Ovis aries: one gene and its partner. The protein of the gene in region 1 interacts with the protein of each later gene in a pairwise test. Links are inferred from orthologs where the notes say so. Each region holds a gene or a part of one and is shown on either strand. Other genes may lie near its edges. The genes, in order: ATXN3 and RAD23B.

Region 1 (11,180 bases):
TCCCACTGCAATGACCCAGCAAGACTCTCTGCATCCCAATTAAAGAATGTTTATCAAAACTAAAGACTTTCTTATTTACAAATCCATTCAGTACTGTGCCTTCTGTAATTCGAAGCTATTTAAACATGATGCAAGTGTCAAGTCATAGTACAAATTTCAATGCAGTTTTGTTGGTAAATTTTCATGTTCTAAACGGTTATCTCTGGCAAGCTCTCTCTACTTATGAAAAGATGTACAGCAGAAGCAGACATCCACACTTCCTAACTCAACTGTAAACAGCTCCAGTCACAAGAGGAAAAATGAAATGAAACTGCTACTAAAACTGAAGGCCAAATTTCATCTATCACACATTCACAGTGGGCACTGCATGTTGTTTTCCATACACTGTATGCAACAGAAGGAAACTTGCACACCATGCTCCTCCTATTTTTCTCAATTTCAAAAGAAAAGGAAATAACAGGGTGCAGGAAAGAGGGTTACAACACAGCCTTAAAGTTCTGACATAACTGAGGAGAGAGCCACAAAGCCTCTGACAACGGATGTGCTCACACGTGACAGTTCTCTTTTACTCTCAAATACTTGTGTAGAGCTGATTTCAGAGTACAGGAATGCACTGGAGTCATGAAATAATGATCCCTTCTCAGAGGGCTTAAAAACCTCAAGAAACATTACCGTCTTTCAACAGAGTAGTAGAAAATAATGAAAACCAGGTAACAGGGAAACTGTGATCAGAGAAAATAAAGATGAGAAACCACCCAAGTGCATGATACAGTCAGAAGGAAAACAGCTTATCCTGGAACTGCTGCTATTATCAAAACGGAGAATACACTGTCCTACAAGGTTAATTTGGTTAAAGAGAAATAAGAGCAACTCTTAGATGATAAAAGTGAGCCAGATTCACTATGCAGAAGGGAGGAAAAGAAGACAAAGTGTGTGGGGAAAGTTCTGTGGCCAGAGCTAGTTATAATTAGTTGGTCTGCAAAAAGATCCAAGAAAAATGCCCTAATTTTAGATATGTTAGATATTGCACACTCAAGAAAGAAAAAAGAACATTTAGAAAACTCTTTTAAATTTCTTTAATTGCTGAATGCCTCTTTGGCTAGTGTTTGGAGGATCATTTTTTAGGCCTAAAACTGATGTATTTTTCCACCTTATTATTGTTTTGTTTGCAAACCACCTAAGCCTTTTTTCCTCTGTTGAAAATTGTTCTCTTTGACACATTACCAAAATGGACCCTATGCTGTAATCACACAGGACAATATTGGAAAGACTGAATATCTAAATGATTTGTGAAAGGTATTACTTTTTTCCTTCTGTTTTGAGATTACTTCTAACAGTTTCTAAAGACATGGTCACAGCTGCCTGAAGCATGTCTTCTTCACTCATAGAATCACCTGTTGGGGATAAAACACACATTCCTTAGAAAGTTCTGGAAAATTTCCAAAGTCATCAAAAGGTAAGTGCTCAGAAACTATTTACTTGACTACTATAGTTTCTTTCCTTTTTTTTGATTCTGAAAGTTTACAGACAGTAAAATCCACTCTTTGACAGTTCCTCAAGTTTTGACAAATACCAAGTGGTATAACCATCACCACCACCCAGATACAGACAGAACCATTCCATGCACCCAAATATTCCCTCATGCTGTCTTTGCAGTCAGTCCCAATCCCTAGGTTTAGGCAACCACTGACATGTTTTTTGCCCTACAGTTCTGCCTTTTCCTGCATGTCAACACAAATGGAATCATGCATTGTGTATGTAACCTTTGAATATGGCATCTTAAACAAAAGCATTATGCTAAGGGAAAGAAAATTTAACTTTGTGTCTGTCAATGATACATACATACCTGAAAAGTTTGTTTTGATAAATAATTATTTATGCACAGGAAGGTGCAAAGATAGTTCAAAGAGGTCCTGTGTACACTGGCTAAATTTCACCTAATAATTAAATCTTACGTAACTTCAGCTCAAACCTAAATCTGAATACTGACATTGGTATTTACAATGTTGTGCGTAGTTCTATGGTATTTTTTTGTATGTGAAGATCTGTGTAACCACCACCATCAACACCACCACAGTCCAGACTGAGAACCACCAAAATCTCCCTCCTGCCATCCCTGTTTGTCCACACTCACTTCTCTTCCCTGTCCCTCCGACATTCCTTTACTACAGGCAACTGCTAATTTGCTTTCCATCTCTATCAATTTGTCATTTTTAGAATGTTACACACTTAGAATCCTACAGTGTGAGATCTTTTGAGATTTATTTTTTTGTACTCAGCATAATGCCCTTGAAATATATCTAAGCTGCTGCATGTATCCGCAACTAGTTTCTTTTTTAAAAAAAGTTAAAAAAAAATTTTTTTTTAATTCTTTTCACCACACCACATGCCATGCAGGATCTCAGTTCCCTGACCAATGACCTAACCTGTGCCCCTAGGAGTGGAAGCACAGAAGTCTTAACCACTGAACCAGCAGGGAAGTTCCTGGTTTCTTTTTAATACTGAGATGTATCCGTGGGATGGATGTACCGCAGTTGCTTTAGCCATTTACCTACTGTAGCACACTTGTTTTTTCCAGTTTTTATCATGACAAAGATGCTATGAACATTCAAGTACAGGTTTTTGCATGGATAGAACTTTTAATTTCTCTAGGATTAAATGGGAATATAACTGATGGCTGTATTGTCACTGTATATTCAGGTTTTATAGAAATTACCAAATTATTTTCCAGAGTGGCTGCACCAGTTCAAATGAAAGTTAAAAATCTTACCTCCCTCTACTTTCCTCTGATTACAATTGCCTTAAGTATTTCCTATAATTTACAGTAAAAACCAAATCAGTTATAATTCTTCCTGCATTCATAAAATATAATTTAGAAAACTGAAAAGGAGAGGCAAGTCTATTGTGTTTACACATATTTTTTTTCCTCCTACTGTTCTTTTTAAGTATTTATTTATTTGACTATGCTATGTTTTAGTTGCAGCATGCAGGATCTTTTTGTGTGTGTGTGTGTGCGTTGTGTGCGGCACAGGGGTTATCTTTTACTTGCAGCATGGAAACTCTTAGTTGTGGCAGGTGGGATACAGTCCCCCATTGTTGTTCAGTCACTCAGTCGTGTCCGACTCTGCCATGCCATGGATTGCACCACCCCAGGCTTCCCTGTCCTTCACTATCTCCTGGAGTCCAGTCAAACTCATGCCCAATGAGTCAGTGAGGCCATCCAACCATCTCATTCTCTGTCATCCTCTATTCTTTCTGCCTTCAAACTTTCTCAGCACCAGGGTCTTCTCCAGTCAGTCAGCTCTTCACATCAAGTGGCCAAAGTACTGGAGCTTCAGCTTCAACATCCGTCCTTCCAATGAATATTCAGGGTTGATTTCCTTTAGGATGGACTGGTTGGATTTCTTTGTTGTACAAGGGACTCGCAAGAGTCTTCTTCAACACCACAGTTCGAAGGCATCAATTCTTCAGTGCTCAGCCTTTTTTATTGTCCAGTTATCACATCTATACATGACTACTGAAAAAATCATAGCTTTGATTATACAGACCTTTGTAAGCAAAGTAATATCTCTACTTTTTAATACACTGTCTAGGTTTTTTTTTAGTTGGAGGATAATTACAATATTGTGGTGGTTTTTGCCACACATCGACATGAACAGGGATGGGTGCACACGTGTCCCCTCGTCCTGAACCCCTCTCTGACATCCCTCCCCATCCCATCCCTCTGGGTTGTCCCAGAGCACCAGTTTTGAGTGCCCTGCTTCCTGCATCGAACTTGCACTGGTCATCTATTTTCACCTATGGTAATATACATACTTCAATGCTGTTCTCTCAAAATCACCCCACTCTCACCTTCTCCCACATAGTCCAAAAGTCTGTTCTTTACATGTGTCTCTTTCACTGCCTTGTATATAGGATTGTCATTACTGTCTTTCTAAATTCCATATATATGCATTAATATACTGTACTGGTGTTTCTCTTTCTGACTTACTTCACTCTGTATAATAGGCTCCAGTTTCACCCAACTCATTAGAACTGACTCAAATGCACTTTTTTTATAGCTGAGTAACATCCCATTGTGTATATGTACCTCAACTTCCTTATCCGTTCGTCTGCCGATGGACATCTAGGTTGCTTTCATGTTCTAGCTATTGTAAACAGTGCTGCAATGAACACTGGGGTATATGTGTCTCTTTCAATTCTGGTTTCCTCATTGTGTATGCCTAGCACTGGGATTGCTGGGTCATATGGCAGTTCTATTTCCAGGTTTTTAAGGGAATATTCATATTGTTCTCCTGGAGAAGGCAATGGCACCCCACTCCAGTATTCTTGCCTGGAAAATTCCATGGATGGAGGAGCCTGGTAGGCTGCAGTCCATGGGGTCACAAAGAGTCGGACACAACAGTGACTTCACTTTCACTTTTCAGTTTCATGCATTAGAGAAGGAAATGGCGAACCACTCCAGTGTTCTTGCCTGGAGAATCCCAGGGATGGGGAGCCTGGTGGGCTGCCGTCTATGGGGTTGCACAGAGTCAGACACGACTGAAGTGACTTAGCATACTGTTCTCCATAGTAGGTGTACCAGTTTGCATTCCCACCAAGAGTGTAAGAGGGTTCCCTTTTCTCCACAACCTCCTCAGTATTTATCATTTGTTGACTTTTTAATGGTAGCCATTCTGACTGGCATGAGATGGTACACTATGGTTTTGATTTGCATTTCTCTGATAATGAGTGATGTTGAGCATCTTTTTATGTTTTTTTTAGCCCTCTGTATGTCTTCTTTGGAGAAATGTCTGCTTAGTTCTTTGGCCCACTTTTTGATTGGGTCGTTCGTTTTTCTAGTATTGAGCTGCATGGGCTGCTTGTACATTTTTGAGATTAATTCTTTGTCAGTTGTTTTGTTTGCTATTATTTTCTCCCATTCTGAAGGCCCCCTTTTCACCTTGCTTATAGTTTCCTTAGTTGTGCAAAAGCTTTCAGTTTAATTAGGTCCCATTTGTTTATTTTTGTTTTTATTTCCATTCCTCTGGAAGGTGGGTAATAGAGTATCTTGCTGTGATTTATGTCAGATAGTGTTCTGCCTATGTTTCCCTCTAGGAGTTTTATAGTTTCCAGCCTTACATTTAGATCTTTATTCATTCTGAGTTTATCTTTGTGTGCGGTGTTAGAAAGTGTTCTAGTTTCAGTCTTTCACAGGTGGTTGACCAGTTTTCCCAGCACCACTTGTTGAAGAGATTGTCTTTTCTCCATTGTATATTTTTGCCTCCTTATAGGTTTCTCAGGAGACAAGTAATGTGATCTGGTATCCCCATCTTTTTAATACTTTTCCACAATTTGCTGTGATCCCCACAGTCAAAGACTTTAGCATAGTCAATCAAGCAGATGTTTTTCTGGAATTTCCTTGCTTTGTCTATGATCAATGACTCCACAGAGTAGGCTTTTCTTGGGGCAAAAAGAAAATTGAGGCTACTAACCACTCTGTCTTTCTCTGGTCCTGAGCTTCCCAACCAGTCTGTCTTCTCTCTGCCTTTCAGATTCTGCTTATATTTGCTTTACACAAAAGCCCAGGGTTGTTAGCTGTACTTAGCAGAATGTGTAAGAAAAAGTACCAGTTCATTCCTTTTTATTGCTAATAGTAGTCCTTTGTTTGGATCTAACAGTTTCTGTGTCTATTCATCTGAAGAACCACCTTTAAGCAGCTTCCTGTTTGGGGCTATTATGAACAAATCAGCTAGAGCATTCACAGTAAGTTTTCGTGTGAATCTAATTTTCTTTTCTCTTGGTTAGAAACTAGGAGTTGGACTACTGGATTCCACGGTTAAGTGTACATTTAAGTTTGTAAGAAAATACTAAACTGTTTTCCAGAATTGTTGTACCATTTTACACTCCTACTAACAATGTATGAGAGTCCCAGTTGCTCTGATTCTTGCCTGCATTTGGTATTGTCAATTTAATTACTTTCTTAAGTCTTTCTTGTACGTGTGTAATGGCATCTCTTTGTGGGTTTGGTTTGCATTTCCCTAGTGACTAGTGATGTTGAGCATATGCCCAATTTTCATCCATATACCTGGTAAAGTGTTCAAATCCTTTGCCCATCTTTTTGAGTTATTTTCTTAGTTTTGAGAGTTCTTTTCATGTCCTACTTACAAGTTCTTTGTTGGATAGTTTCTTTTGCACTCAGTTTCTACCACCAATAACTGGCCAACATTCAAGACCTATTTATTAAACCAAGTCTAATAAGTAATTCTAGACTTCTGTGTTGTAATGCAGACTACACTCAAGTGTTTTCAGTTTTCCAAGTAGTAAAATGAACTTATTTTCCACCTACTATTATTCATTATCTTTGAGAAACTTTTGGAAAATGTACCAATTACGGTGACATTGCAAGTACTATTTATAATTTTAAAGCAAAACATTCATTGAGTGTTTTAAGGACACAAGTACATTAAGGAATTAGCCTGCTCCTTAATCCAAGAAAGTTTAGTAGGTCACAAATTCATTCAAGAATTTCAGTATAATAAAGAGAGGAGAAAAAGCCTACAAAGCCAAAAATCACATGGAGGCTGTGTGTCAAAGAGAGCATGCAGGTAAGAAACGTGATGTATGGTCAGGAGGCGTACCTAGATCCCTGTCAGGTGCTTCAGAACTTGTGCTCGACTTTTCACACAGATGTGTAAGCTGTCCTGGCAGAGCTTGTTGCTGCTGCTGCTGCTGCTGCTGCCTGAAACATTCAAGAGCGAAAGTACATTCAAAAAACAAAACCCAAGAATAAACATGCCATGAGAAAAACCATTCCCATGGAAAATAAATGGTTCCACGAAACAAAAGTGTCACTGGCTTGAACACCCCAGAAGAAGGCAAGAGCAATCATTCTGACAGAAAACAAACTTGTGATTACCAAAGGGTAGAGCAGGGGGAGAATAAATGAGTTTGGGATTAATAGATATATACTACTATATATAAAATATATAATAAGGTCCTACTGTATAGCATAGGGAACTATATTCAATACCTTACAATAACATATAATGGAAAAGAATCTGAAAAAGAGTATACATATATACATATATCTCAACAATTTTGCTGTACACCTGAAATTAACACATTGTAAATCAACTACACTTCAATTTTTTAAAGAAAGAGCAATCAGTCTGACATAAATTACTGAAAAGCATCACAGTGCTGATCCTAGGAAACCTAGATAGAAAATTCAAATTTATCAGACAAATTAACAGGTAGGTATTTTCACCATAAAAATAACACATTGTACGAATAGAGTCACTGTTTGAATGCAAATGTGTTGGTTTACAGGTCCTTAATATTGTTGGAAGTCACTGAAAATAAGCACCTTTGAAAAGATAAAGCATCTCAAATTACGGGCTGATTAAAATGATCCTTCCATGGCTGGCTCCTTCCTGTCAATCGTATCTAGGCTTCAGTATCTCCTCAGAGGCTTCCCTGGTGACTCTGATGGTGAAGTCTGCCTTGCCAATGCAGGAGACCCAGATGTGATACCCAGGTCAGGAAGAGCCCTTGAAGGAGGAAATGGCAACCCACTCCAGTATTCTTGCCTGGTGAGTCCCATGGACACAGGATATTTCCTGACTGTTCGAGCTAAAGCAGCCACCTGCCATTCGCACACTCTCATTTAATTTTCAGTATAAACTAGCATCATCTGATATTCTTTTGCCTGTCTCCCTCTGTAGAATCATAAACTAATGAGAGCGCAAAGCTGATCCTGCTTGTTTCTCCAGTACCTAAACCTGTGCTTGTCACCAAATACTTTATGAATGAAAGAAATGAAAACAACTATTTAAACTGCATTATCAAGTTTCAGTAATACCTGCTGCATTAAAGTAAATTCTCCCTGTATTTTTTTTCAAAAGGAAAATCCATGTCATAACAATTCACACATTAAAACGTTTAAACATGATGGTTATGATGTAAATAGGTAGGACAGTATCCTTATACTCAGAAAATATACTTATGCTTTGAGAAATATAATGGGAAATTGTAAGTTATTGTAAAGTGGTTCAGAAAGATCAAAAATTGGGAAATCTAGGTGGAGGGTATAAGGAACTCTGAACTATTTCTGCTTTTACATCAATTTAAAATTACTTCATATATATACATATGTATATGCTAAAAATTAAAGAAAAACTTATAAACAGCTGACAATCTAAGCAAGAAGCTATATAGCTTTCAAAAAAACGCATAAAAGGATTTTTAAAGGAAGCAGAATTTTTTTTAATGAATACAAAATTATTTAATGGAGTAATGAATGATACTTTGTTTTTTTAATCAACCTCACCCTCTAAGGTATTTCTTTTTTTTTTTTTACTGTTTAAAAAAAATTTTTTTTATTGAAAGTTAATTGCTTCACAGAATTTTGTTGTTTTCTGTCAAACCTCAACATGAATCAGCCATAGGTATATATATATCCCCTCCCTTTTGAACCTCCCTCCCATCTCCTTCCCCATTCCACCCCTCTAGGTTGATACACAGCCCCTATTTGAGTTTCCTGAGCCATAAAGCAAATTCCTGTTGGCTGTCTATTTTACATATGGTAATGTAAGTTTCCATGTTACTCTCTCCATACATCTCACCCTCTCTTCCCCTCTCCCCGTGTCCATAAGTCTATTCTCTATGTCTGTTTCTCCACTGCTATCCTGTAAATTCTTCAGAACCATTTTTCTAGATTCCATATATGTGCGTTAGAATACGATATTTATCTTTCTTTCTGACTCACTTCACTCTGTATAATAGGTTTTAGGTTCATCTACCTAATCAGAACTGACTCAAATGCTTTTCTTTTTGTGGCTGAGTAATATTCCATTGTGTATATGTACCACAGCTTCTTTATCCATTCATCTGTCGATGGGCATCTAGGTTGCTTCCATGTTCTAGCTATTGTAAACAGCGCTGCAATGAACAATGAGATACATGTGTCTTTTTCAACTCTGGTTTCCTCAGGGTATATGCCTAGGAGTGGGATTGCTGGCTCATACGGTGGTTTTATTCCTAGTTTTTTAAGGAATCTCCATACTGTCTTCCATCATGGCTGTATCAATTTACATTCCCACCAATAGTGCAAGAGCATTCCCTTTTCTCCACACCCTCTCCAGCATTTATTGTTTGTAGACTTTTTGATGATGGCCATTCTGACTGATGTAAGGTGGTATCTCATGGTTATGATTTGCATTTCTCTAATAATAGTGATGTTGAGCATCTTTTCTTGTGTTTGTTAGCCATCTATATGTCTTCTTTGGAGAAATGTCTGTTTAGGTCTCTTTCCCACTTTTTGATTGGGTTGTTTTTCTGGTATTAAGTTGTATGAACTGCTTGTATATTTTGGAAATTAATCCTTTGTCAGTTGTTTCATTTGCTATTATTTTCTCTCATTCTGAGGGTGGTCTTACACCTTGCTTACAGTTTCCTTTGCTGTGCAAAAGCTTTTAAGTTTAATCAGGGCCCACTTGTTTACTTTTGTTTTTATTTCCATTACTCTAGGAGGTGGGTCATAGAGGATCTTGCCTTGATTTATGTCATACAGTGTTCTGCCTATGTTTTCCTGTAAGAGTTTTATAGTTTCTGGTCTTACATTTAGGTCTTTAATCCATTTTGACTTTATCTTTGTGTATGGTGTTAGGAAGTACTCTAATTTCATTCTTTTACATGTAGCTGTCCAGTTTTCCCAGCACCATTTATTGAAAAGGCTGTCTTTGACCCATTGTATATTCTTGCCTCCTTTGTCAAAAATAAGGTACCCATAGGTGCATGGGTTTATTTCTGGGCTTTCTATCTTGTTCCATTGGTCTATATTTCTATTTTTGCACCAGTACCATACTGTCTTGATGATTGTAGCTTTGTAGTATAATCTGAAGTCAGGAAGAAGCAGAATTTTTAAATGCCCAGTAACACAATAGGGCTTCCCTTGTAGCTCAGATGGTAAAGTATCCGCCTGCAATGCAGGAGACCTGGGTTCAATCCCTAGGTTGGGAAAATCCCCTGGAGAGGAAATGGCTACCCACTCCAGTATTCTTACTTGGAAAATCCCATGGACAGGGGGAGCCTGGTGGGCTACAGTCCACTGGGTCACAAAGAGTCAGACATGACTGCGCAACTAACACATACAACACTATAAAATAGAATAGAATAGCACTTTTTTCTAGGGCCCCTCTTAATCTTGTGTTTTAAATATAAGCAACGAGGCAAATTCAGCCAGTGGGACTTGCAGTTTTTCCCTGCTGGCCTCTGAGCCAGACACTGATGTCTGCACAGGTTCTGGGGAGCATGGCTAACAAAGGACACATAGGCAGTGGGCTCCCACAAGCATACTCTGATTCTGGAATGTGACACGAAAAAGACAGGCTGTGAGGTACAAGGAATTCCTGGGGCATCCTCTCCATGCCCTCCTCCCCCTCCATTCAAGAAAGTATTTCAGAATGCAAGGGAGTGATAGGTGAGAGAGTGCCTTTAGAGAGAGAACCTTCATTCTACTTCCAAGTGAGAAGTAAATCAACTGCCAGCCTTGAGAGTATTTTGACACCTTTCCTACGTGGGGACACTGTAAGATGGACCATGTTCAAACAGTAAATCAGCATCCTTCCCCTCTGTGCCTTCTAACATGCCTTCAGCATGAGAAAGGCTGGAAAACTGAAAACGACATGTCTTTGACTGTTTTCGAGCTAGGAGTCTGGCTACCAGTTAAACACATGCCTGAGACTTACACGGCAGAGGAGGTACTGTCATCTTCCTGCAGCTTTGGTGGGTCTCTGCTGGCAAGTAACGCCACGGAGACGCCAGTTCCACAATCCTGCTTCCTGGCAGCTGCAGTGGGGGCCAGACTGCAGGTTCCCATGTCTAAGCAACTGTGGTGGCAGCTTCTTGGTCTTAGGGTCACAGCTAAAGCAGTGTGTTCTTAAACTCGATATCCTGATTCCGCTTTGTCCAAAGGAGGCTTGAGAGGGAGGGGATATATGTATATTTACGGCTGATTCACATTGTTGTACAGCAGAAACCAACACAACACTGGAAAGCAATTATCCTCCAGTTAAACATTTTAAAAATCTCTGTTTTTTAAGCTGGACTCTGATAAACTACATCACACCACTGAAGTGGTAGTTCAAGTATTAGGTAATCAAAAAATCACAGTAACGCATGACTATGAAAACATTGGG
Region 2 (11,180 bases), on another chromosome or scaffold:
CACTGTATTTATCCCTGCCCTATATCCTAGACCCTCCCTCCCCACCCCCAACAATCTACTACCTTATACCAAGTATTGTGGATATGAGCCCAAGTCATCCCAGACAATCCAGTGAACAAAGTTAGTGTAATGCACTGGTGTGAAGTGTCAGATTAAAAAAAAAGTCCCTTTCAATCTTCATCAAAGTTTTGCTGTAGAAGAAAATTGGCAGCCAAGTTCTCATTCTTCTCACAAGCAAAATATGCTTGTATCACAAGTCCTTCAGGAAATCCTAATGCCTTTAACTGAAAGAAAAGAAAGAAAACATATTACGGAGTCATCATTGTTTGAAAACATACTATAAGGGATGCAAAAACTTGAGAATTTTAGATGAATTCATCCCTTTCTGATCATGGAGCTGCTGTCCAATTCAAGGAGCTAGATAGAACTTGGGGCCCTTTCCTGTAACCACTTACAAAATTCTTTGCTCCTAGTTAAAATTTTGATGCTAAATAGATACTTTGATAACATTCACTGGCATTAACACTAAAAGTTAGCTGCTGTGGTAGTTTAAAAATAAATGACCCTACAGAAATCTGTAAATCAGACGGCTTTTAGTACATAAGCGGTGAAACTATGGATGAGAGCAACCGGAGGTGGAGATGAGTTTAACTACCTAATCCAATTATTTGTTTTTTGTTTGTTTGTTTGTTTTTTAGCCATATCCTTAATAAGGGTCAAATATCACTCTTAACCTCCTTGCTTTATGAAACACCTCATACTACAAAAATGGGTGGTCAATTATTAGTAATATTACATGACATACTTCTGAGGTCAAGACATACAGTATTGTTTTTATCTGCTTAATTTTTATAGCACTTTAAAAGGTGATACGATCCCTTTAATTTTATTTTCATAGTCTATTGAAAATCACTTGCAACTCAATAATCACTGCTTTTAAAAGCCTTTAAACACTCAGGTGAGGAGAAGGCAATGGCACCCCACTCCAGTACTCCTGCCTGGAAAATCCCACGGACGGAGCAGCCTGGTAGGCAGTAGTCCATCGGGTCGCTGAGGGATGGACACGACTGAGCGACTTCACTTTGACTTTTCACTTTCATGCATTGGAGAAGGAAATGACAACCCACTCCAGTGTTCTTGCCTGGAGAATCCCGGGACGGGGGAGCCTGGTGGGCTGCCGTCTATGGGGTCGCACAGAGTCGGACACGACTGAAGTGACTTAGCAGTAGCAAACACTCAGGTGAATTAATCTAATTCCCCAGGTGCCATATATTTGTCCCTTGCATTAGACTGTATCAAGAAAGGACCTTTATTTAAAAACCAGGCAAAACTCCTAATTCAGCATGATTATACTCATCCATGAAAGGAGAAGAAACTAAAAAATGATTTTGTTATTTAGGTCTTGTCCACATTAAAGCTGGGCTAGCTGAAGTAAAAGGTAAACAGGGCACAATCCAACTATATATGCTTTACAGTAAGACACACAATTTAGATTGAAAGACACAGTGCGCTGAAAGTAAAAGGATAGAAAAAGACATATACCATGCAAATAATTACACAAAAAGAGAGCTTAAGTGGCTATATTAATACCAGACAAAACAGACTTCAATTAAAATTGTGACTAAAACAAAGACATTTTATGATGATTAAACAATCAAAAAGACTTCATTATAAACAAAGAGAACAACAAAGCCCCCAAATACATAAAGCAAAAACTGACAGACTTGAAGGGAAAAATGCAACAATAGCTGGAGACATCAATATCTCCAAGTTCTGTAACGGATAAGAGAAGGCAGAAGACACGCAAGTAGAAAACCTGAAAAAATGCTAAACCAACCAGACCTAACAGACATGCACAGAGCAGCGAACAGCGGCAAGTCGCACACCCTTCTCAAGTACACACAGAACAGTCTCCAAGGACCAGGTCAGGCCGCAAAACAGGCCCCAGTGAGTTTCTAAGGATTAAAGTTACACAAATTATGTTCTCTGACCACAATGGAATGAACTCAGAAATCAATAAAAGAAGGATATTTGGACAATTCATAAATGTGGAAATTGATAAAACCCTAAAAAACCTACAGATCAAAAACTGACAAAATTAGAAAATACTGAGATGAATGAAAATAAAATGTCAATACACTGAAATTTACAGCATGTTGCTGTAGCAGTTCTTGCAGAAGTTTCTAGTTGTAAATGTCTACAGGTCCAACTCAGAGATACTGCAAGTTCAGCTACAGAATACTGCTATAAAGCGAATGTGGCAATAAAGCAGGTCACAAGAATTTTTGATTTTCCAGTGCACATGAGTCATGTTTACACTATACTGCAGTCTGCTAGGTGTGCAGCAGCATCACGTCTAAAAACCAATGTATATACTTTAATTTAAAAATACTTTATTGTCAAAAGTAACCATCATCTTAACAGTCAAAAACCTTCAATTGGTAAAAAAAGGACTTAACTGCAAAATGTAATGAAGCGAGGCACAATAAAACAAGGCATGCCTGTGTAATAAGAGATAGTAAATCAGTAATCTAAGTTCACCTTAAGAAACTGGGGGGGGGGGGAGAGGAAACTAAATCTAAAGCAAACAGAAGGAAATAAAATAGAGACTAGAAAAATACAGAATCAACAGAACCAAAAATTCTTGCTTTTTTCCCTTTAAATCAACATTAACAAACCTTTACTGAATTGACAAGAAAAAAAAATCTGAGAATTCAAATGACTAAATCAGAAAATAAATGTGGGAACACTATTATTACTTTTTATAGAAACGAAAGCAACAATAAAGGAATACTAAGAACAGCTTATGCCAACAAATTAGACAACATATATGAAACAAATTTCTAGAAAAACAAAAACCACCCTGACTCAAGAAAAAAAAAAAAAAAAACGAAACAAAACAGAAAACCTGAACAAGTCCTATGACAAGAGACTTAACCAGTCATCACAAAAATTCCCCAAAAGCCAGGCCCAGATAACTTCACTGGTGAGCTGTACCAGCAATTTAAAGAAAAATCAACACCAATTCTTCATTAACTCTTCCAAACGAGAGAAGAGGAGGGAACTGACTCCATAAGACCAGTACTAGCCTGACACCAAAACCAGACCAAGACACCGTAAGAAAACTACAGACCAATACTCCTAATGCATGAAGATGCAGAAATCCTCAACAAATCACTAACAGGTCAACTCCAGCAACACATAAAGAGCATTAAACACCACGCCCATAGAGGATTCACCTCAGGAATGCAAGGCTGAGCCAACACAGAAAAATCAATCAGCACAACAAAGTATACTGACAGAAAAAGGGACACAATCACATGACCATCTCAATCAACACACAATCGACAAAACCTCACATCCTCTGTGATAAAAACATCCACTGTAATAGAAACAGAAGAGAACTTCCTCAACCTGATGAAAGGAATCTAATGAAACCCACAGAAAACATCAAACTTAGTGGTGGAAGACTTAGTATTTCATTTTCCTCTAATATCGGGAATAAGACAAGGATGTCGGCTCTTATCACTGCTATTCAACAATAGAGGAGGTTCTGGCAGGACAATTAAGCAAGTTGGTATATATGTGAATAAAAATAAACAAAGAACACCTGAATTGAAAAAGAAGTAAAACTATGTCTACCTTCAAATGATCTTACACACAGAAATCCTAAGGAACACACACAAATTAAGAATTAACAACTGAGTTAAAGAAGGTACACAAAATTTACTTTTGGTGTACAAAACTGCATGATACACAAAATTGTATCTCCATATAACAATGAACAATCTAAAAACTGAAATTAAGGAAACAATTCTAAGGACTTCCCCGATGGTCCAGTGGTTAAGACTTTGTGCTTCCAATGCAGGGGTCATGGGTTTCATTCCTGGTCAGGGAACTAAGATCCCATATGTGTTGGTGTGGCCAAAAATAAATAAATAAAAAGAACACAATTCTATTTATAACAGTGTCAAAGAATAAAAATAAGTATTTTCAATAAACGGTGCTGGGCAACTGGATATTATACAGGCGAAACATAATCTAGACTCCTACACCTCACATTATAAACAAAAAGTTAACTCAAATGGAGCATAGACATTTTTCATTACGTAAATGTAATAAGAGCTATAAAACTCTTTGGGGAAAACACAGGCTCAAGTCCTCTGACCTTGGGTAAGGCAATGTTCGTATAACACCAAAAGCAAAAGCAACAAAAAGAAAATTTCTCCAACACAGAAATCAAGGACAGTCTCAAAAAAAAAAAAAAAGTTGCTACAGAACAAGTGAGGCAATTGTCTACTGTCATTTCTATTATTTGAGGAGGTAAAACAGCACAATATATAAAGTACCTTTTAAGAAATACTAGTTATAAACCTTGAACACTTATATGGTTATGTCATAAAGACAAATTAAAGCTCCGATGATTTTCTAAGTATTAAGTTATACTGCAATGGCACAACCTGTACAGGTTGACCTGATAAGGGTGAAAAGAGAATTGAAATATCAGGTTCTGATATCCACTATACATATTTTATATAATTCACACACATATTTATATTTAGAGACAACAGTGAAATAAAATTTGAAATATAAATTTAAAAAAGGATAATCCTGAATTGAGCATATACTTTTTTCTTCTTGAATTTTAAAACATCAATGAAATCTTTAGCTTGATTTATTTATAACAATTTCATGCTAGACTGGTATTTAATGCTGGTTCTTGGGCTTCACAAAGAACATGATGAGAGTAGGGCTGAGAAGAGACTGTCTCCACTGCAATCCCTACATGAATAATGCTTTACTGGGCTCTGCTCAATAGGAGCTATCTTCCACAATGGAAATACTCTATATCTAGGCTACCCGATGCAGGAGCCACTAGCCCCAGTGACTACTGAGCATCTGCAACATGGCTAGTGTGACTAGGAACCGAATTTTTAAGTTTCACGTAGACTCACCCTTTCTATAGCTTCTTTTTCCTGAGGCGTTACTTGAATGTAGTTCATATGACCACTTCCAGCTTCTGCGATTCCTCCACTGCCACCTCCTCCCCCTCCTCCTTGACCACCAGCTTCCTGAACTGGTTCATTTAACATCTGAATAAAATGCTCCTGATGTTGGCTAATTTGCTGCAGCGATTTAAAGAACACAACAACACATTGTTATAAAGTACCTCCAGGAAAACAAGAACTCTAATACAAATAAAAAGGAAAGCTACAACTCTGCAACTGCATTATTTTAGAATGATTCTGGATTAGTCAGCCTTTGGAAGGATGTGATTTCTTGTAAAGAAACTCAGTATTTCTGAAGGAGGTAAACAGTGAAGAATTAAAAGAATTCAAATTCTTTTTCATAAACACTCCACTCCCCCATTACTATTAAAAAACTACTTGATGGCTAAAAGAAAAATTATATTTATGTCTATATTATTTTTATCTTCCACAACTAGCAGGCAGTAGAATGCTACACAAAACTCAAATACTTCATGACCTGAACAATAAAATAAGCCCACAGGTATGTTTTCTAAGAGGCAGTGCACCTCTAGTAATAAGCTTGAGAAAGAGAGATTTAGAAAATTAAATATTTCTTTTTGCGAAAGTTTCTCATATTCTTTAATAAAGTGTTTCCCAAACTTAGTATTTGACTAAATTAACCCCACCCCCACCCCAATTCTCTTTTTATCAGTACCTCTATAACATTCTCCTGAGGGTAGCTTGGAAGAACAGTTTATACACCTGGTAGAGGGGAAGGAGTGCCCATTGACTTCTACAAAATGTTAATACATTTTTGAAACTGATTAAACAGTCACCTGAAGTAACTGTGGATTTTCTCGACCTATCTGTTGTAGCAATGCTGGAAGCAGGGAAGGATTCTGTTGAATAATTTGCCTCATCTGTTGAAACTGAGGCTGATTCCGTAAAAATTCAAGAGGGTGTCCTAAAATAAACAGAAACATTTTTAAACAAAAATAACAAACATAATTTAGACAGCAAACATTGTGAAGAAAAAAAATGATTTGAGTTCTAAGATGTATATAAAATGAAGTAACGACAATCTTCAAACTGTACCAACTTGCAAGTCTTATACTGCAGAAATTATTCCTACTAGCTCAGGTAGAGAGTGGGTTTGCCAGGTGGTACTAGTGGTAAAGAACCTGCCTGCCAACGCAAGAGACATAAGAGATGCAGGTTCAACCCTGGGTTGGGAAGATCCCCTGGAAGAGGGCATGGCAACTCACTCTAGTATTCCTGCCCGGAGAGCCCCATGGACAGAGGAGCCTGGCGTGCTACAGTCCATGGGGCTGCAGAGTCAGACACGACGGAAGCAACTCGGCACAGCACAGCACACAACGCAGAGAGAACAGACCACTAAAAGCAGGACGTTTTCCTACAATTGCCTGGGGCACTCAATCTATCAAATAACACCGACAACCTGTGCCTGCATATACTCTATAAAAAGCATTAGAAGCTGTTTCTGATGCTCAAAAGTTCCTAAGAAATATATATACCAAAACCAAGAAACACAAAAAAACCTACCCTCTTTAATTGTATTTACGAAGATTAGTGAGAATTTTCTAGATGTACGTTCTTATCTCCTGCATTATTCAAGACAATCATTCAAATTAAAATGGCCACAGAGCACGGTTATTTACTCTTCTTTGTGTAACACTAGTTTTACAGAAGAAAACAAGACTCAGGAACTAAGTTATTCAGTAAGTACCACTGGACGGGACAGCACCCCAAACCTGAACCAAAGCTCTGCCTCCTCCATTTCCATGCTGAATCTCAGGAAATGAAAGCTTATCCTCTGGGAGACTGTACACAAAGTGCTTAGGGATTTTTATCAACCAGAACTGACTGCCATAATTAGAGCTAGGAAATACATAAAGGAATGATCTCTTCAAAATTAACAGTTTGAATTACTTTATCAATTTTACAGAAGAAAGAATGAAAGAGAACATTCCCAGGCCTCTCACAGGCTCTAGGCTTTGCTTCCTAGTCAAACCTTTGCCAACTCAAGTGTGGGTGCTAGTCAGTAAAGATACCTGAATTCAAGCTTTGATTTCACCTCTAGATACAAGATATTAAATATACTAGGTTTCATTTTCTTGCTTCTATAATAACCATTAGGATCCTGCTGGTGTTGGAATTATATTTTATGATATTTATAGGGAGAGAAAGAGACAAGGTGCGCAAACCATTCTGAATATAACACTAAATGCAAGCATCTAAATGGGAAGCATCTCTTCCTTAGAAGGAGCTAAACAGAAATATGTCCTTTACCAAAACTGCAGTGATGAAGTTTAAAATAAGAGTATCTTTTATATCCACGTAGTATTGTTTCTTCTGGGCCCTTCTCTAACACTAGAAGAGATTTTAAGAATTATGATGCTCTGAGAATGAACGTCACCTCAAAAGAATTTCAGGTTAAACTATTTTAAACTGAAAATTCATGGCCATTTCTTCCCCATCAAAAGTTTCCACTTTACCTCCAGAACTTGCTGTTGTAGTTGTTGCTGTCGTGGTTGCTGCAGCTGCGGCCACTGAAGACTGCGGAGCCCCAGTGCTTGCTGTTGGAGGGGGGTCAACCACAGCCTGGCTCTCTCTATCTCCAGGAATTCCCTGTAACATGATTTCCAAGCTTTAGAATAGCTCCTCACTCAAAGTTACTTAAATATTACACAGAAGAAGAAACTTTGTGTCTATTCAATATCCTTGTCTAATTTCTAAAAGCATCAAACAGACGTCTGCTTCAATTCAAAGTAAAGGATAAACACAAACAAAATCTGCACATATTCAAGATTAGAAATGGCCTCAATGTGGTATGGATGAATCCATACTGCTATTATATACAGCAGCACTGCCCAACAGAACTTTCCATTTCGGAACACCTCTATATTTATGTTGTCCAATAAAAATACCCATTAGCCACAAGTAGCTACTGAGACCTTGAAATATGGCTAATGGTACTAAGACACTTAAAAAAAGAGTTAAGTATTAACTTACTTGTACTTAACAGTACTCAATAGCTACCCAACTAGATAGTGTAGATCTAAGACATAAAGGAACTTTATTAATTAAAAAAAAATCATGAAATGATGTTTATACAGCAACACATATTAATATCTAACACCAAAGTATCAGGCAAGATCCTAAACTTGCATATAATACTGTCCAACACTAAAAAGCTAATTTTTTAAATTTTCAAAATATCAACACAAATCTTATTAGGACATATCTGACTTTTTAGTTCAGTGGTTAAGACTCTGCACTTTCACTGCAAAGGGCATAGGTTCAATCCCTGGTCAGGAAACTAAAATCCCACAAGCTGTGTGGTATGGCCCAAAGGAAGAAAGAAAGAAAAAAGTAAATGGGTATAAAAAAATCTTCAAGTTTTGGGTGATAATTTTTCTAAGTTTATGACATTTATCTTCTGAAGTTATTATAACTTTAAACTGCACTAAGATTTTTGGAACACTCTATTTTGATAAAAATGATTTATAAGACTTCTCACATATAGCTATCAAATAACCTTTATAGGTTTTGGAAAGGGAATAGAGAAGAAAATACTGTATATGAATATGAGATGGTGTTAGTAATCACTTCCATTTCCCAGTAAATCAGAAGCTAAAATCATAAACATATAAAGAATGAAGGACAATAAATAGCAGGATAATAATTGCTATATTGGATGTCCCTCTAGGCACTGCAAGCCACCCACCAATTCAAACCCTTAAATGAGGAGCTATCAAGTGCGGACAAACTATATACAGATCGAGGGTCCAAAAGCCTCCATCAAATTCTCAAACAAGTTAGCTAAAGTCAAAAGTTAATCACCATTGCTACAGATCTACCTCAAATCCTCACACACAAGATTTAGCTTTTTGTTAGATTATTACTTCTTTCTATACACTCACTTGCACTTATATAGATTCATCAAAAACTAGCAACAGTTCAAAGCACCAAAACAAGTGCCTGCTTCAATTGAAACTAAAGGATAAACTGTTTCCATGAACCTCTCATCTATTTATTTGCATTTGATGCTAAATAGTAGCAACTGTGAAAAGAGTAATTCATTTTTTTCAAACCCCAAAATTTCAAATCTACTGGGTCAAAATATTTGATGACACCATTAAAATTATGCAGAATTCCAAAATCAGGTATAAATTAAAGCCATTCTATAAAAGGAAAGGCAATGTTTTTATGCAATACACATTTTTTGGGGAGGAATGAGGGGCAACCATAAACTGATCCACAATAACTCTCAATCCAGTATGATTCCTCAATTTCAAACTGATAATTAAATGAACTGTCAGTATTTTACAGACTTTCAAGTGGACAATGGGAAAAAGAATTCAAAAGTTAAATGGTATGTTAAGATTTTCTGAACCTCATGCCAGTAAGCAGGAAATGACTGGAGGAGAAGCAATTATCTGCTCATGACGGGGACTCTTCTGAAACTACTCTGAAACTACTGAAAAGGAGTTTCTACCAGAAGCACACCTAGAAACAAGGGAATGGGTTGAACTGTGGACGGTATTCTCCAAGGAGTTAGGATCTGAGATGATGTTTAGGGTAATACAGACTTTTGATAATATTCTAACACACCAACGACAATTGCAGGATAAAATCTTAAAACTAAAAAATTAATCCAATATTATTGCAAACTTTTACAATTTGCTTTTGGTCTGTGTCACATCTGTAAAACAGACATTCGTTGTTGTAAAATATCAAGGGTTTCAGTTCATGCCCATAACAATCTATTTCTCAAAAACTTTTATTAGTAGAGCAGTCTACAACCTAAAATTTCCCCTAAACCCTTGTGAAAATCTGGGATCTGAGTTGTCCAGATAAATCAATTATCTGAACTTTTCAGCAAACTCTCCCAATTGTTAAAAGCTAGCAACTAAATACAAAAACTTACATAGTACAAAATTTGACTTGGACTTCCAACTTGAAACTTTCACTCTACATAGTACATCCAGGATCATGTTTGGCAGGCAAAAAAGCTACTGAAATGTTGGATTCAATTAGTTTGAAAACCTGCCCCACCCTTAGCCCTCTAACACACAGCTCTCATCCTCAGAGGATGATATAACTAGGTTAGACACTAATACCCCAAGTGGATAGCCAATTTTAAAATCCATTTAGTGACATTTTCTGATTCAAAGTCTTATCACAATCTTTTAGAAGAGGTTATACTTTATTAACGGAAAATGATAATGCACTAAGAAAAATACTGGGTTGACCAAAAGGTTTGCTGATTTTTCCGTAAGATGTAATGGAAAACCCCAAAAGAACTTTTTGAAAACCCAATAAATGTCAATAAAAGCATTAATTAAATCAACCCAATAAAAGCATTATGCAAATGAGCATACATCACCATTATCTTACGAACTGCTACTGTTTCTTTAAAATTTCTGTTTCTCTGAGATTTCATCCTTAAACAACTAGAACCAAGAAAGCAAAATGTTTCTCACCATTAAGAGATACTCCACTGCTCTGTCAGGGTTGTTGAAACTGGCTCTCAGGGCTGCAATCACTTGCTCTCGTTCGTAGCCCATTGACATGATCTCAGTTACCATGTTCTCGTAAGACTGACCTGTCACTAAGAAAAGATGTGTGTGTGGGTGGAAGAAGGGAAAAAGGAAAAGAGAAAGAAAATTCAATAAACAAACATTCTCCACATAGTTTCAGTGTGTGTATATGTATGCATACACTGTCAGGCACTACAGTGTTAGGAACACAACGATGAGTAACTAAAACACACATACAACTACTACAACATACATGCGGTAGGCAGAACAATCCACCTCCCCCCATCCTTAGAAACTCCGAGTAAGTTAGGTTACAAAGCAAAAGGGAATTGAGGTTGCTAATCGGCTGACTTTAAGATAGGGAAATTATCCGGGATTACCTGGGTTGGTCTAATGTAATGGTAAGGGTCCTTAAAAGCAGGAGCGAAGCAGATGAGAGGGTCAGAGAAATAAGTGGGGGCAAGTTAGAGAAAAAAGCAGGGGCAGAGATGTTATGTGCTTCTTTGATGACAGAGGAAGGCGGTATGGCCGAGGTATGTGGTTAGTCTCTTAGAAGTCACAAAGGACACCGAACAAATTCTCCCCCAGAGTCTCCAGAAAGGAATGCAGCTCTGATTTTAGCCCAATGAGTTAGCCTCTTTATTTT

The links.
Region 2: the proteins of ATXN3 (region 1) and RAD23B interact in a two-hybrid assay, tested with the Homo sapiens proteins (2 studies listed by BioGRID and IntAct). The link is inferred for Ovis aries from reciprocal best matches to the Homo sapiens genes ATXN3 and RAD23B.

The regions. Positions count from the first base shown.
Region 1 is NC_056071.1:54,566,145-54,577,324, forward strand, and holds part of ATXN3 (ataxin-3), read right to left. Parts: intron 6,722-11,180; coding exon 6,621-6,721; intron 1,395-6,620; coding exon 1,300-1,394; 3' UTR 1-1,299. UniProt on the Homo sapiens protein: Deubiquitinating enzyme involved in protein homeostasis maintenance, transcription, cytoskeleton regulation, myogenesis and degradation of misfolded chaperone substrates.
Region 2 is NC_056055.1:15,811,495-15,822,674, forward strand, and holds part of RAD23B (UV excision repair protein RAD23 homolog B), read right to left. Parts: intron 10,606-11,180; coding exon 10,478-10,605; intron 7,620-10,477; coding exon 7,487-7,619; intron 5,935-7,486; coding exon 5,807-5,934; intron 5,127-5,806; coding exon 4,956-5,126; intron 285-4,955; coding exon 171-284; 3' UTR 1-170. UniProt on the Homo sapiens protein: Multiubiquitin chain receptor involved in modulation of proteasomal degradation. Binds to polyubiquitin chains.